2 linked regions of the Oreochromis niloticus genome follow. The protein of the gene in region 2 binds, or shares a complex with, the protein of the main gene of each other region. Links are inferred from orthologs where the notes say so. Each region holds a gene or a part of one and is shown on either strand. Other genes may lie near its edges.

Region 1 (7,509 bases), on a different chromosome or scaffold from region 2:
TATTGCAACTACCTGGATTCCCAGTAGCTGTTGCTTTCTGCAATGCATGTGTGGGTTAGCTGCAGCTGTTCAATAAATATCCCCTGTACACTACATATGCAATGTAATCACTACAGAGGCACGGTGCACCTGCTAAAGAGTAAACACCCACAACTTTATGTCATCGTTAAATATTTACAGTTCTGCTAACCAGGGCTCGACTTTAGAGTAGCAAGGTAAACAGAAATGAGTCTTATATTCGTTACTGTATCCAGTTTCAGTGACTGACTTGATGTCCTTTTGTTTCCATTTACAGTTTGTATTAGAGGTTTAAACTTGAATGTTCGTTGTTTCGGTAAAAACAAGTAAAAGCTCTGATACAAAATAATTCATTGCAATTACCCTTTTCTGTTGCATAATATGGGCTTTTCCTCCTTATTTTGATTTTGCTTGTTGCTATAAACTGATACCACAGCAAATCCTTTTAAACTGGAGATTTGTTTTTCTCACAATAAGCTCAACTGCAAAAGAATGTAAGCTGAGCTGTGCAAAAAGAAAGTAAAACAAAACAGAAAAAAAGTTTGCATCCAATGTTAGACGACAGAATCCGAGACACACGCAGCATTATGATAGCAAGTAAAGTGGCATAAAGAAAACTGCACAGGAAACAAGTGTGAACTATAGGAATAGACTTTCCTAAACTTTCCCACATTGCACTCTCTAAGTGTCGCCTTTGTCAGCAAAAGTCTGCACCTCCCTTTTCCTTCTTGCTCTCCAAGCTATCCTAAAATAAACAAGAAAAACAACAAAAAAAACAAAGCAAACTCACCTCACCGACTGCAACAAAGAGTCCTCAATGAAAGAGAGAAGGATCAGAAACAACGGCACTAACATGGACTGTACCAAAACCTCAGTGTGCATGTTTAAATCCCACAGAAAGCTGAAGTAAAGTAGCTTGAAGGAATGCCCCAATCCTTCACTCCTGAAACAGACAGGAAGAGAAGGGAGAGGGAGAGGGAAAAGAAAAGGAGTAAAGGAGAGAAAACGCAGCAGGCTGGCCTGAACTGGCTCGGTTCCTTCAGAGGCCAACAGTCCTCCACATGCAAGTGCCTTTGATTAGTCTTGACTCTCAGACACAGTCCTGGGCAGGAGCTAAAGTAGGGAAACCTGCCAAAATGAAAAGCTAAGTCACCAGTTTGAGAAGTAATTAGAAGCAGACGGCTTCTCTAAATTTTTTTTGTTTCAATCTTTCCCCTTTCCTTTTCCAGATGATCTCTCTACGTTGCAGTGTTTTTATTTCTAAGTTTTCTTTTGGTGTTTTAATAATAAATAAGATCCAGAGTCAAAGGAGGCAAGCCCCCGCCCCAGTATTTAGAGCGTATCCATTTGTCATAAAAGAAGCCGAGGAATTGTTCAGAGAAACTGCTTGAAGATGAATGTCTTGCTCTTATTCCCACATTATGAATTCAAATCAGTAGTTCACAAAACCAATAAGTCTTTTGTGGTAAACACAAAAACACATATATATGAACACAACACAAAATGCTGTGATCTTTGTGAGTAGCTGCACAGCTTGTCCTCTAGCATCATGTTCCTTTAGGTTGAAGGAAGTGGAGGAGAAAAGGAGCAGCGGGTTGAATATTGACTAAGTGTGAGCCACATTTCTGATGTTTGCACAAATACAAGAAATAAGAGTAAATCATGGCTTTAGTGAGTTGACTTAGCAGGGATAATATTAAATAATGATAATAAGAATAATTATTTGAAAGCAAAGCAAACCTCTGCTCTGGCAAACAGGTATATTCCTGTATACGGTGAATTGTTAGCATGGTGCCGCTTTGGGTTTTTTGTTTTTATAAATTTGTCAATTTTTCTTTGTAAAATTCATACAGAAAACAAAAAGATATCTTGGTTATGTTTACAGGAGATGGAGTGATGTTCTGCATTTCACATCTATGACATGAAAACTGATCAAAACAACTTTGTGTTGGATAATTATCTTGCAAACTGGACAAAAAGAAAAGAAAAACTGTTCACATTTTATCATAATAATTGATACTTTGATAAGCAAATCCCTTTAATGTGGCAGCTGTTGCAGTTTTATTGCATGGTAGCTTTATCTATAATAATGTTATTTACCTCCAAAATAATAGGGAATTGAGGCTTTAAATAAATGGTATAGTGCACGATGTTCAATGTTGTGTACAAAATAACAGTAGAGTAGAAACAGAAAGTAGCATAACAGAGGAGTACTTAGGGTACTGCATAACAGTTTTGAGCCACTTCCCATTAGAAACACTGGATATAGGTGCAGTGATTTATTGAAACATACATAAACATAAGTGGAAATACAGCACATAGAGCACAAACAGATTTTATACAGTTCTAACGAGCTGCAAAGTCAATATTTGGTATGACTATCTTTATTCTTCAACATAGCCTGAACTTTCTTAGACAAGCTTACTTGTAATAGCCTTCAGGAATAGTTCTCCAGCTTCATGAAGCTCTACTGTGGATGTTCACTGCCTTTTGTTCTGTTTTCTGTCAAGATGATCGCACACTGCTTCAATAATGTTGAGTTTCAGACTCTGGGGAGGCTAATCCATACTCATAGTGTTCCATTGTATGTTTTTTCTATTCAGGTATGCTTTTACTACAATGGCATGGAGATTGTGATCATTGCCATGTTGAAAAATGAGGCCCTATGAGGCCCTACTGTATGAGGCATCATACAGTATCATCTGGAAAGAGTCTGATCAGACTCTTTCCAGATGATACTGTATGGTGGATAAAACTCTGACCACAGTTTTCTGCATTCATAATTCAGTTCAATGTTGACACCACTGACTTAGAGCAAATGCACTCACAAACCATAATAAAATAACTGTGTTTTACAGATTTACACTGTTGAACCTCCTTCATACATATTGACGAGAATTTTGATCCAAATGTTTTAATTTGAATTCATCCCTTTATAAGACCTGTTGCTAATTATTTTAAGCCCTTCCACAGAGACCATTTCATCAATAAAGAGTAGATGGGTCAATTTAAGGGTCAGATGGATTTCTCATGTCTCGTGTCTTTGCTGGATTTTTTCCCATTTCTTAAGGATATCACTCAAGATACTGTTGAACTACTGCACATAGTTTTTTGGGCTGACAAGTTGGGCTAACAGCTCTTTGGAAATCACTTTGTTTGTGCAAAAATACTATGTCATGCCTGTTGAACTGTTATTGTTGACATTTTTAGCAGATTTGACTAAAGAAATTGGAATGAATTATGTGTTTTATGACAGGCTGCTAATAAAAAGTGCCTAAAAATACAAATAACCCATAAAATGGGTTATTTGCTAGGTTTGTCTGTTATGCTGTTAAATTATGCATAGACACAACACTGGTTTATCCTTTGAATGAGTCATAGGTCAGTTTTAAGTGGTTTAACAAGACACCTGAATCTCTGCATGTAATCCAGATGCCCCACTAAATATGGCCCCTACAATGCCAAAACAAAATGTAGCCCATAATATATATAATGGTTGCTCAGATGGAGTTCAGGGTTCAGGTCAATATCACACTATCATAGCTCACTAAAATACTGAAATAGAATGAGGTGATTAGCAGGCTTAATTTCCCTACTAGAGCAATTCAGAAGATTATATTTAACAACAATGCACATCAATGGCAAATAATCAACCGGTTCTAAGAGATACTGCCGCACCTCTGGGTGATTTCAAGCAACTAAATGGCGAAAGGATATTTTGGTTAAAACCAATCTGCATCTCAGTTACTGAATTTACTACGACCGAAACTACACTCACGTTTGGACAATATACCCAGCCATGCAATATCAAATCAGGTGAAGCCAGGTCACTTGAAATATCACAGAAATTTAGTAAGAAATCCAAGTTTTCACTTTTGTACTTTACTTTCTATAACATGAAAAGCACAGTTGTGATTTAACACACATCCAGTGGTTGTATTCTTTCAAGAATTGCCCTCTTTGTAACGATATATTGCTTCTACTGTTTATTTATATGTATGTGTTTATGTATATCTGATAGTTATCCATTGTTACTGCTTTCTCTCTTACTAATCTTAGAGTATAAACAAGTAATTTAATAAAATTTAAATAATCAAATATGGCAAATATGATTATTAAAATGCATATTAAATTTAATTAATTGTTAGGACAAACCTATCTTCAGACAACTGTCTCTACATTTTGTACTGTCTTTGAGCAAATCTGTCTCATAGACAAGCTTTGCCAACCTGATAAGCATGTTTGTGTATCAGCTTGGCAAAGGAGTGGAAACAAAGTTAATAATAATAATAATGACATAGTCTGATCAAATTAACTGTGTATCAAGTGATTACCAATAATGCAAATAAATATACTTGTATGATGTGATAGAGCAGCATGGCGAGCTTAAACTGTTACCACGGAAACGGCTGCGCGCCTCCGCAGCACGCACTGGTGCTGTTGATGTGATTGCTACCTGCGCGCTCCCGCGTTCTCCATACGATCCCAACACAGCCGGAAAACAGCTGATGTCATGGACAGTGCTGGACGCGGCAGATAAAAGAAACCCTCCTCTCGTAAGTGATTCAACGTGTTTCTTCTCTCTGCTTCTCCACCCGTCGCGAGTCACTTTCAGCAGTTACGTTTTTAGGATGCGTCTGAGGCTAGGTGCTGCCGCGCGCTAGCTTACTGGTCCTCCAGGAAGTGAGGAAAATCTCATCCTCCGGAGTAGGCCTTCGTGAAACATTGCCGTGTATTTGCTACGCTGTCACGTGGTCAGGTTGTTACGTATTATATAGCTTCATGTAGGCCCTATACTTGAACATATTCATGTATATTGTTGTATTTAGCTTGCTTTTGCGCCTATAGCACCTGCTCATATTCGTTTCCATAGTAACCTTGGCTCGTCCGACGTCATTCATTCAGCTTTCAGTCACAGTATGGATATCCAGCGGTTTGACAGCCATTTTGCACGACGTGGGGTCGGTCATATGCTGCAGCCTGTCAGTGGCTTTCCCGAAATGGTTTTAGGATTTCACATTTGCTCGTGAGCCCCTCGTGGTTTCCAATCAGGAAGCCTGATCCTGGTGTTCCTTCTCTGACATCGATTAATTAGAACATTTTCAAGGTTATATAAGCACCTCATCACAGTTTGTGCAGTTATGGTCTCAAGAAGAAACCTTAAAACATAGGAGAAATGCTACAAGCATTACAGGAACATTGGCATCCTGTAATATTTAATGCTGGGGATCCACTAGTTTAAACACCTGGGCCAATGTAAATTTGTTCATTTTCATTTTGCTGTAACTGTTCAGTTTTAAAATCTTTCACAGCTTCACGACACTTCCTGGAACATCTATCCAGTGATTTGATCTGACAAAGCAGATAAACACCAGCTCCTGAAAGTGGAAAATGTCATTTTATTTGCAAAAAAGGCCAGCGTCACACAACTGTTGGCTGCTACCAATGCTGATCTGTGCATCCCTTTGGAATGCATTTGAATACAATCAGTCATTAGGTGACATACTAAGTGCTATTCGATATTTAATGTTGACATCATCAAAAAATCACAATATTTAACATCTGTATCAACATACAATATTTCTGAATAAGATGAATGTGAGTTTGAAATGTGAAGTGGGTCACTCATAGTAGTAGTTACACATTTATCATCCTGCAGAGCCAGCTGTTTCAGATGTGTGAAGCATTGGAGTGTCTTTTAGGTCTTTGCTTTTGCTGTAATGGCTTACCACTTTACTTTTCATTGTCACCACTCTCAGCTTTTGTCAGCCTCATTTTAAATATACCCACACTACTGGCCTACCATTGAATAGTTGTAAAGGTCTGACCTAAATTATCAGCATTCCTATGAATCTGCTTTTCTGATCACTTTGGCTTTGTATGCAAGACAAAGTAGTTAGAGTCTTAGTTTGGAACCTTTGGGGGAATTCATTTGAAGGTATAGCACTAGTTTACTTTGCCCTCGTGGGAGCTTTGTAAAATATAAAAAAAAAATATAAAAAATACAAACTGGTGCAATGAGTAAATGAAAGGTTTAAATACTGTTAAACTCCTTAATAAAATGTATTTTCAAAGTCTGCCTTTTAGCTCATTTTATGCTTTTGGTATACAGTTGGGTCCACACATTTTTTGTACAGTAACACATTTTTTTTTTAAAATTTTGCCTCTTTACACCAAGTGGATTTAAAATCAATAATCAAGATTTGATTGAAGTGACTTTCAGCTTTAATTCAAGAGGTACTTCGCAAAAGTACTGCATTAGGGAACTACAGCCAGTTTTAAACAAACGCCCCTATTTGAGAGGCTCAAAATTAATTGGACAAACTAACATCATTTTAAATATCACGACTGTTTTTAATACTTGGATGAAAATCCTGTTCAGTTAATGAATGTCTGAAATCTAGAATCCATGGCCAACACCAAATGCTGTATTTCCTCTGTTACGATGCTCTACTAAGGCTGCTGCAGCGGCCTTCATTTGCTGCTTGTTTGTGGGTCTACATTTAGTTTTGTCAGTCAGTAAGTGAAAAGTATGCTCTGTAGCACTAAGACACATGTGTCTGACATGGTAATTAATAAATATCCCAGTTCTTTCCCTTGTGGGGTTATTCTATGTATAAAAAGGTCTGTAATTCCTGAACAGTTAAGGCATTTATTTTGCTAAACATCTTGAATTAAAGCTAAAAGTCTATACTTCAATCATGTCTTGATTGTTTGATTTAAAACCCACTGTGTTAGTGTACACAGGCAAAAAAGTGTAAATTTGTCTGTGTGATTTTTTGGGATATTTTATTCAAATTGAAATCTTCAGATGAAATGTTACACAAAACTTATCTGTGGAAATGAAAGTAGAGGTTAATGCTATTGCTATTGCGGCGTTATTATTCTCTCATCCTTAGACACTGTATGAAAAGTGCCACTAACTTAAAAAAAACTTTTTCATAAACAACCATACAGGGGGTTTGTGCTAGAGCAGCTATGAATACCTGAATATCATTGTAGGTTATGGTTAAGAGATAAAGAATTGAACAAATGAGCTGCATGCCCACATCTACAAAAGTATTTCTTGTGTCTTGAAAGAAGATGCTGCCCTCAAAATGCACTCAAAAATAGAAGTTCAACCAAGAAAGTTTGCATACTCAAACAAATACTCACAGTTACAATTAATGTGCCCAGAGATCACATTTTTTCCCGTGAGGAACATGTCCTTTCTCCAAATGGGAAAGTAATTGCAGTCTTTGCCACCTATACTCCCACATAATAGCACTTAGACCCTGTAATTTTGTTTTCACTCTTCCTCACGTCTCCATCTGCATATGTTAAGTGTAGCAATTACACTGGGAAATTGCTTCTAACTACATGGGGTTTGTAGGATGGATGGACAGTTTCTTTTCTTGGTGGGGGCATAAAAAGGAAACAAGGATGTGATACCGTTACATTGTTCTGCCTTCGTTCCAACCCTAACTTAGAGTTCTGTCTCAAATAGGACAT
Region 2 (7,029 bases):
CATCTTTAAGATATAAAACTTGCTGGTAAAGAGATAACGTAACCCTCTAGCTGACCTAAAATTGGTGCATGAATCAACAACCTCCTCCTTTGGCTATTTCTTTTCTGCGAAGATGACACATGCCTGCTCCACTTCTCAAGGCTCGCTACTCCCACTTTCCCACTCTCTCTCCCTTTTGATTTTTTTTCTTCTATTTCTTCGCCCCGGGCTTCAGAAGGCACAGATGTATGGATAATCCTGGAGTCCCCGCTGAGGAATCCAGACTCCTCTAATGGTGGGCAGAGTGATTTTGTTCTGCATATCTGAGGCTAAGAGACTGTGCTTCGGGAAAATATCAAAGAACCGTTAACAGTGGCATCATACTGAGTGACTCTTTTCTCGCTCGCATGATACTGCCCCGCAGAGGCACAATCGTCACTCGAGTTAATGCCCATTTCCAGAGTTGCCACCCCTGTCACGCTCAATCTGTGCCCTGAGAGGCTACATTTGAAACACCCCAGTGACTGGTTCAGGACAGCCCTTCAGCAAAGTATGGAGTATCCAGGATACTCTGTGAGCACCACGGCAGAGGAATAATCCTTATGGATGGCTGAGGAGTTGTGTAGAATTGAGGCCAGCTGCCAATCTCAAATAGATTGCACCCTAAGCTGATAATAATGATAGAAGTGAGGCACACAAGTTCAGCCTCCAGTAATCCCACCATTCTTTAATAAATTAGCTAATAAGAAAAGACAGTGCCTCTGTTCTCACTGAAGCTGGCGGGTAGTAATACTGCAACCACAAGAAATATCCTATCTCTGCAGAGCATGTCTGGAAAAATGAAGCCCCAACTGGACAGAGAGAAAAAAAAGAGGAAATAGTGCTCTATTAAATTAGACGTGTTCAAAATGGCTGCCTACTTGACCTATGCTGGAAGAGGAAATAACATGCTGTTCCCTTCACAGCACCCAAGAGAGCAGGCTGACCCTGCAACTGCATAGCCGGAGGAGCTGAACTCCAGGCCCTCTGGGAAGGACACAACAAACCGCCCCAGGAAAGCGTTCATCTAGCAACCGACCACTGAATCAATAAACATCACTGAGCCATCTATCTCTGCGGCTGCCTTAAAAAGACGACACCATAATTACACAGGAAATCTGCTACAGTCTGTATCTTTCAGAGCAGAAGAGGCGAGGCAACATCTGCCATGATGGCCACTTCCTTAACCTCTTGCTGACATTATAAATTAATATGAGACATTGAATTGTGTCACTGTCATGCCTTTGAGAAAGTGTGTCAGAGCGACCTGCTGTAATTAATCTCATCTGATTGTGAAGGAAGCTAATATCAAACATTCTACAATCTTTACTTCACCTGGTGGCTCCAGAGCAGGGTACTTACCTGAGCAGGGTTTGGGAAAAGTATTTCAGTGTGTTTGCAATGTCTGTTCCGGAGGGCACTGGGTAAATATTGTGTTGCACACGGTTGTGATACTCTTGCAAGTATCGTATCTTAGAGGCAACTGGACAAAATAAAGAGCAGAGCAACAAGCAAATCAACACTAGTGAGATATGATGCACGACAGCAAAGACATATATCATGTAACTGAACAAGTTGTTAGGTAGTATTTAACATGAATCCTTCAGCTATTAAGTTAAACAAAGAGTGTGTTTTCCCATGGTTCTCTGGCCTTCACCGGGCGACCTTTTTTGGTATAGCAGCAGGTCACAGGAAGCCCTAGAGGAGGCAGTAACCTACTGCTTACAGAAACAAGCTCACACACGAAAGGTTGCCAGTTCAAGTCCCAAGACAAGCTGGGAAAATGTGGTTATAGCGAACATGAAAGGGGGCTTAAGAAGCAACACAGAGGAACATTTCTGTAATGAGCCCAGCTGGCTGCTCTATATTGAAATAATCTCTGTAGGTTCAGATATGACTGTGCTGTTTGTTGTTAGGAGTTCAAATATGTTGAAGTGGGTGATCGCTGACCCATTTTCTGTGACTTTAGGCAGGAATGTTTAGCTTCCTTCCTGACCTGTAAATGACAAACCCCAAAATAAAAATAACAGCTGCAGGCTTGGAGGATTGTCTGGTCAAAGCATGTGCTGCGATAAATACTGAAGCACAGCATCTTTCCTGTTCATCATAAAATTAAACCTCCTCAGAAAAAAAGGACTAATTTTTTAATATTTTTCAAGCTTTTAATAATATTTCGAGCTGTTAGTCACAACAGCAGATTCAGCGTTTTCTGTTCATTCCCTCACTTACTGGCTACCAAACAACAGGAGCAACACCCAACTTTTAACCAGCTGATGGGGCTGGGAACCCCTAACACTGAGTTTGACCCCGTCTTTTAGCTATTGTTTAGCGGTAAAGAATCAGAAGACAGCGGCTGGTGTCCACCTGTTCACAAGCAGCGAAGTGGAAAGAACAACAGACGTCAATATAGTGTGATCAGACCCCACGATTGATCAATATAAAGCCACCATATTGTTCAGTAGCCTGTCAGGTCGACCTTGAGACCAGCATTACACTTCGCTTTTCCCACGCGCCTCAGCCAGCCACGTCAATCAAAATAAAATAAAATTTAAAAGAAATAAATAACACGGATCACAGAGCGATCCGGACATGGAATTGTTCCATCAACACGCAGAGAAACAGAGGGTGATTCAGTGGCTCTGTGTGTGCACTGAGACCTCCAGCCATCCTCTGCAGTGAGAGGACGTGTTGCAACCTGCCTTGGCAACCGCGGTTTCATCACCAAGGACAGCTCCCCTTGTTCGCTTTCTTGGTTAAACCAAAAAAAAAAAAATCAGTTTCCAGCCCCCTCACAAGACAAAACAGAAACACGCACGCACAGATACACACAGCCGTACTTACACTGCTCTGCCTTCGTAGACATTTCGCAGACACTTGGGGAAACATAAAACCCAGACTGTCAGTTGTTTTGATAGGTTTTTCCCTTCCCGGCGTTGTGTTTCCCTCAGTCGTGAAAAAGTGACTATGCCCCCTTGCAGCCCAGGCTCGTCTTGATTGTACCACTTTGCACGACGGATTTATACGCTGTGGTGTTTTAGCTGTGCTTCGGTCGCTTTCGCGATCTTTGAACGGAAATAAAGGGAGAGCTTGTTTTGTAAATCGTTTTTATATATTTTTTTGAGGTGGTGGTGGGGATTTTGCTCTCTCGTTGCAGAGATGGGTGGTGACATATATGTGACACACCATACCTTTCCAAATGGACTGATCCGGCTTTGACAAATTGTCATTCAAGAATTCCGACAACCCTATCAGCGCTGTTTGAGCTGATTATAGGAGGGAAATACTAAGCACCTCCGCTTATTTGCCTCCGTGATGCTTTACATGTGTGTATTTGTAATGCATGAAATGCTAAACATGCAACAGATGGTTGTCACACCTTCTTAAACATAATGTCCTTGAGAAAACATCGTGGGTTTTTTTTTCCAATTTTATATAAATACAGCTGATTGGCCACCGTGGATTGGCAGCGTGTCCTAATATTTTTATACTGATATTTAGTAATATTAATACTAATCTCCACTATCAGCTGGGCGCTTTAAAGAGTACATTGTTATCCAATAACACTTTCGAGCTATAAATGTGCATGTATATGAATATTTAAGCCTGTGTCTAAATGCAGCATTTCTCATTTAAGCGGCACTTCCGCTAGTAGATGCAGGACTGAACGATAAACAGACCGCAGGGTCTGAGGTCCTGACAGACCCTTCCCATCATGGTTTCTGCCAAGAAATTTGTATGTCTATACTCCTGACTGATGGAAATGATATCCTCAAAGTGTTTTAAAGCAAAAATTTTGTCTTTTTTTTAATATCACCCTCAAAACAGTCAATAATCTCAGAAATAAAATACACAATAGTTATCATTTGTAACTGTATAGGAAAATAGCTCAGTCAGACTTCAGATTTAACAAAGGTTTTACTTTTTTTCACGACATTTTACACAGTGGAGAGAGGTTCACACAGTGACATTGTTCGGGTGCCTGTCTGCAGAGTTCCTGTAGAAATCAGTCATGTTGAGGTATTCTGGCCTTGTCTTCGATATTCTGGGATATGATGCATGATCCAGCCAGCCGGGGCCAGGAGAGTCACAGCAAACACGCATAAGGCAAAGGTAGACTGCTGTAAGAAAGTCCAATAAAATATAACCATGAGTGTTTTATTCACAGACACTGCAAATGTAATCAACTGCATGAAAGGTTATAATACACATTCAATGCAGTGTTAGTGTTGGAGCTCTCAAATATCTTCTTTGATATGTTAAGTTGAACAGAGAAGACTAAGCACCCAATGAACACAACAGAGGGCCCCGCTCTTAGTGACTCACTGCATGATATAACTTCACCTCCACCACCCACTTATATTTTCCTGCCATGATATTCCCTCTGTACCTCTCCACCATGGTATTCCTAACCTGGGATGAGCTTTGTAAAAGCCCCTATGGATGTCCCTTAGGACAGATTAACAGATTTATAGTGGCATAAACACTTCCTGCTATGCTGCAGTTCCATCATAGGATCCCTTTACAGAGGCCAGAGCGTTGCACTGACTTATAAATAACAAATGAATAAAACATCTCTTCCACTCTGCAGACTGGGGAATGCAGTTCACTTGAATTCTTCGCATTAAGGGCATTTGAACCATCACAGACACTGACTTCCCACGACCGACTTTTTTATATTGTTTGCATTTTTATACCACCATAGTCCCTAAAATTGCATTACTTGTGGTTTAGCATCCATTCAGTTTAGGAAAAATATTACTACAGTCTTTGGTTTTGTTGCAGGACATTATACAGTGTAGATATTCAGGGATGTCTGCCTGTTTAAGTGCAATTACAAGTACAATAAAAGTTAGTCAGTCCTACCACTGGCCCAATCTTTTCCTTGGGTGGCTTGCTGTAGATGGTTGACCTCTGATTTTGCTTAATGTTCTTCAGCAGCAGCAACCTGGTTAGTGTGGGTCTCCTAAAAAGCACGGACATCCTTCTTGAGACAGCTCACAGTAAATCTCGTTCACAGAAGAAAAATGTGTCTCTGGAAACTTATCCTCACATCCTGTGAGATACTGACAGATAGCCTGTACTTTTATCTAATTCCCATCACTCTTCCTGGGAGGAGTTACTTCCATGGGCCAAAGACACTCGTGTAAACATACAGAATGAGTTCTCATCACAGCAAATTCGGCCTTGGTTGTGTGCCTGAAGATTAAAATGAACTGAAAGGGGGAAATATTGGTTACAAAACATTGATTTTAAGCCTGAATGAGCACACAAGGTGTCTTTTTTAATGCTGAACAGTCGCTAGTTAAGCACACAAAGTCCTAAATTAAGAACACAGCAATCAATTGTTGGCAATATACAACATTTTTTCTCTCTAGAAAGTACACAGGACACAGAGTGCTGAAGTAGTAATATGCATTTGATGGATTTTTGATAATCCATGTAATGAATATTGATTAATATTGATAATACAACAACAACATTCAATTTAATTCAAGTTTATATATATAGTACCAGCTCACCACAATAATCAGCTGAAGGTGTTCTATAACGTTCCTACAGTACTGGAGAAAACCTCAACAATCAAGCCACCCCCAATGAGCATGTACTTTGGAACCGTGGGAAGGCAAACCTCCCTGTTAACAGGAAGAAATCACCAGCAGAGCCAGACTCATGGAGGGGAAGCCATCTGCAGAAGCCAATTGAGGGTGAGGGGAAAGAGAAAACATAAAGTCCAGTAGTAGCCTGAGCCTATAGCAGGATAACTAAGTGAATGTTTAGGGTTTGTTGACCCAGCCCCAACCATATCCTTTATCAAAAAGCAAAGTGTTGAGTCTAGTCTTAAAAGTAGAGACAGTGTCTGTCTCCTGAATCCAAACGGGGAGCTGGTTCCACAGGAGAGGGGCAGCACAGTTGAAGGCTCTGCCTCCCATTCTCCTTTTAAAAACTCAAAGAACCACAAGTAAACTTGTAGTCTGAGAGTGATCTGTTGGGATAATATGATACTATGAGGTCTTAAAGATATGATGTGGCCTGATCACTGTGAGGAAAATAATTTTGTAAGGCAATTCTTGATTTAACAGTGGATTAACCAGAGGCTTTGTAGAGAATATTTAGCTATCAATAACTGTATTACTATCACTACACAACTTGTATGTTAATTCCATATATAGATAGAAATTTTGTCATTTCAAAAAAATATTATGGTATCACAACCAGAACCGCTTAACAAAAATCTTTAAAAGATAGTCTTCACAAATCAACACAAAGACAGGCCGATCTAGATGTCTGAGTAAATCTCTTGTATTTCTGTTCTGTTCCATTCTATTCTGTCCTTCTATTTAATAGACTGGAGGACAGACTGCCTGAATAAAACCAAAGACATGTATTGCTTAACTTTGTCATTTAGGGCTTTTCCTTTTGAATTTCTTAATCAGGGTAATTGCAGGGTAATTGTGGATTTATATCAACACGACAGGTCGATGTAAATAATAAAACAGTGTCCATTGTTTATGATTATTTTAAACCTATAGTGTACATACAAAAAGGTTTTGGCATTCACATTACATGTATTCTGTCGCCCTCAACAGGATGCAGTAAGAACTAGATCTAGCTGGGAAATAAGAACCAACTTTATCCCTGAAGTCTTTACTACTAGCATACCTGTTCACATAATAGTCGACACTGAATAAGACAAATATTCCAAATCGAACAGTGTTATGGGATCAATACGTGTATGTATTGCAAAGATGCATTGCAGCCGTTAGCTTTAACATAATAATCAAGGCGAAAATTGGTGGTGCAGCCTGCATCATAGTAACGTCATCTCATAGGTCTGCCTCTAAATGAAAGAGGGAAAGGTTAATAGACAAAACATGCACTGGGTTGCATTGTCTGGATCATTTTCTATAATATTATACTTAAAATTGCATACCGCTGTTCGTCACAGCTCCCGATTCTCCTGCAGAATTACTGACAATGTCATCAGTTATATAAAACGTAAAGGGAAGCTGA

The links. The genes of interacting proteins can lie anywhere in the genome.
Region 1: the proteins of unc79 (region 2) and nalcn are in contact, whole or in part, in a cryo-EM structure (PDB 7SX3), measured with the Homo sapiens proteins. The link is inferred for Oreochromis niloticus from reciprocal best matches to the Homo sapiens genes UNC79 and NALCN. Residues at the interface, in NP_001333147.1 of Homo sapiens: Cys861, Gln862, Ile865, Glu968, Pro969, Asp970, Phe1020, Gln1022, Pro2088, Asp2089, Ala2092, Pro2093, Leu2095, Leu2096, Met2099, Leu2139, Pro2141, Asn2142, Gly2143, Ile2144, Gln2147, Leu2148, Ser2151; in NP_001337678.1 of Homo sapiens: Gln349, Met350, Phe351, His352, Glu353, Gly358, Trp359, Gln360, Leu361, Phe712, Ser713, Ile714, Arg717.

The regions. Positions count from the first base shown.
Region 1 is NC_031987.2:23,390,561-23,398,069, reverse strand, and holds the start of nalcn (sodium leak channel NALCN), read left to right. Parts: upstream 1-4,435; 5' UTR 4,436-4,474; coding exon of another isoform or gene 4,475-4,533; 5' UTR 4,534-4,574; exon of another isoform or gene 4,575-4,586; intron 4,587-7,509. Other genes in the region: itgbl1 (integrin beta-like protein 1), read right to left, coding at 809-900. UniProt on the Homo sapiens protein: Voltage-gated ion channel responsible for the resting Na(+) permeability that controls neuronal excitability. NALCN channel functions as a multi-protein complex, which consists at least of NALCN, NALF1, UNC79 and UNC80.
Region 2 is NC_031983.2:11,500,301-11,507,329, forward strand, and holds the start of unc79 (protein unc-79 homolog), read right to left. Parts: upstream 3,099-7,029; 5' UTR 2,882-3,098; coding exon 2,860-2,881; intron 1,502-2,859; coding exon 1,381-1,501; intron 1-1,380. UniProt on the Homo sapiens protein: Auxiliary subunit of the NALCN sodium channel complex, a voltage-gated ion channel responsible for the resting Na(+) permeability that controls neuronal excitability.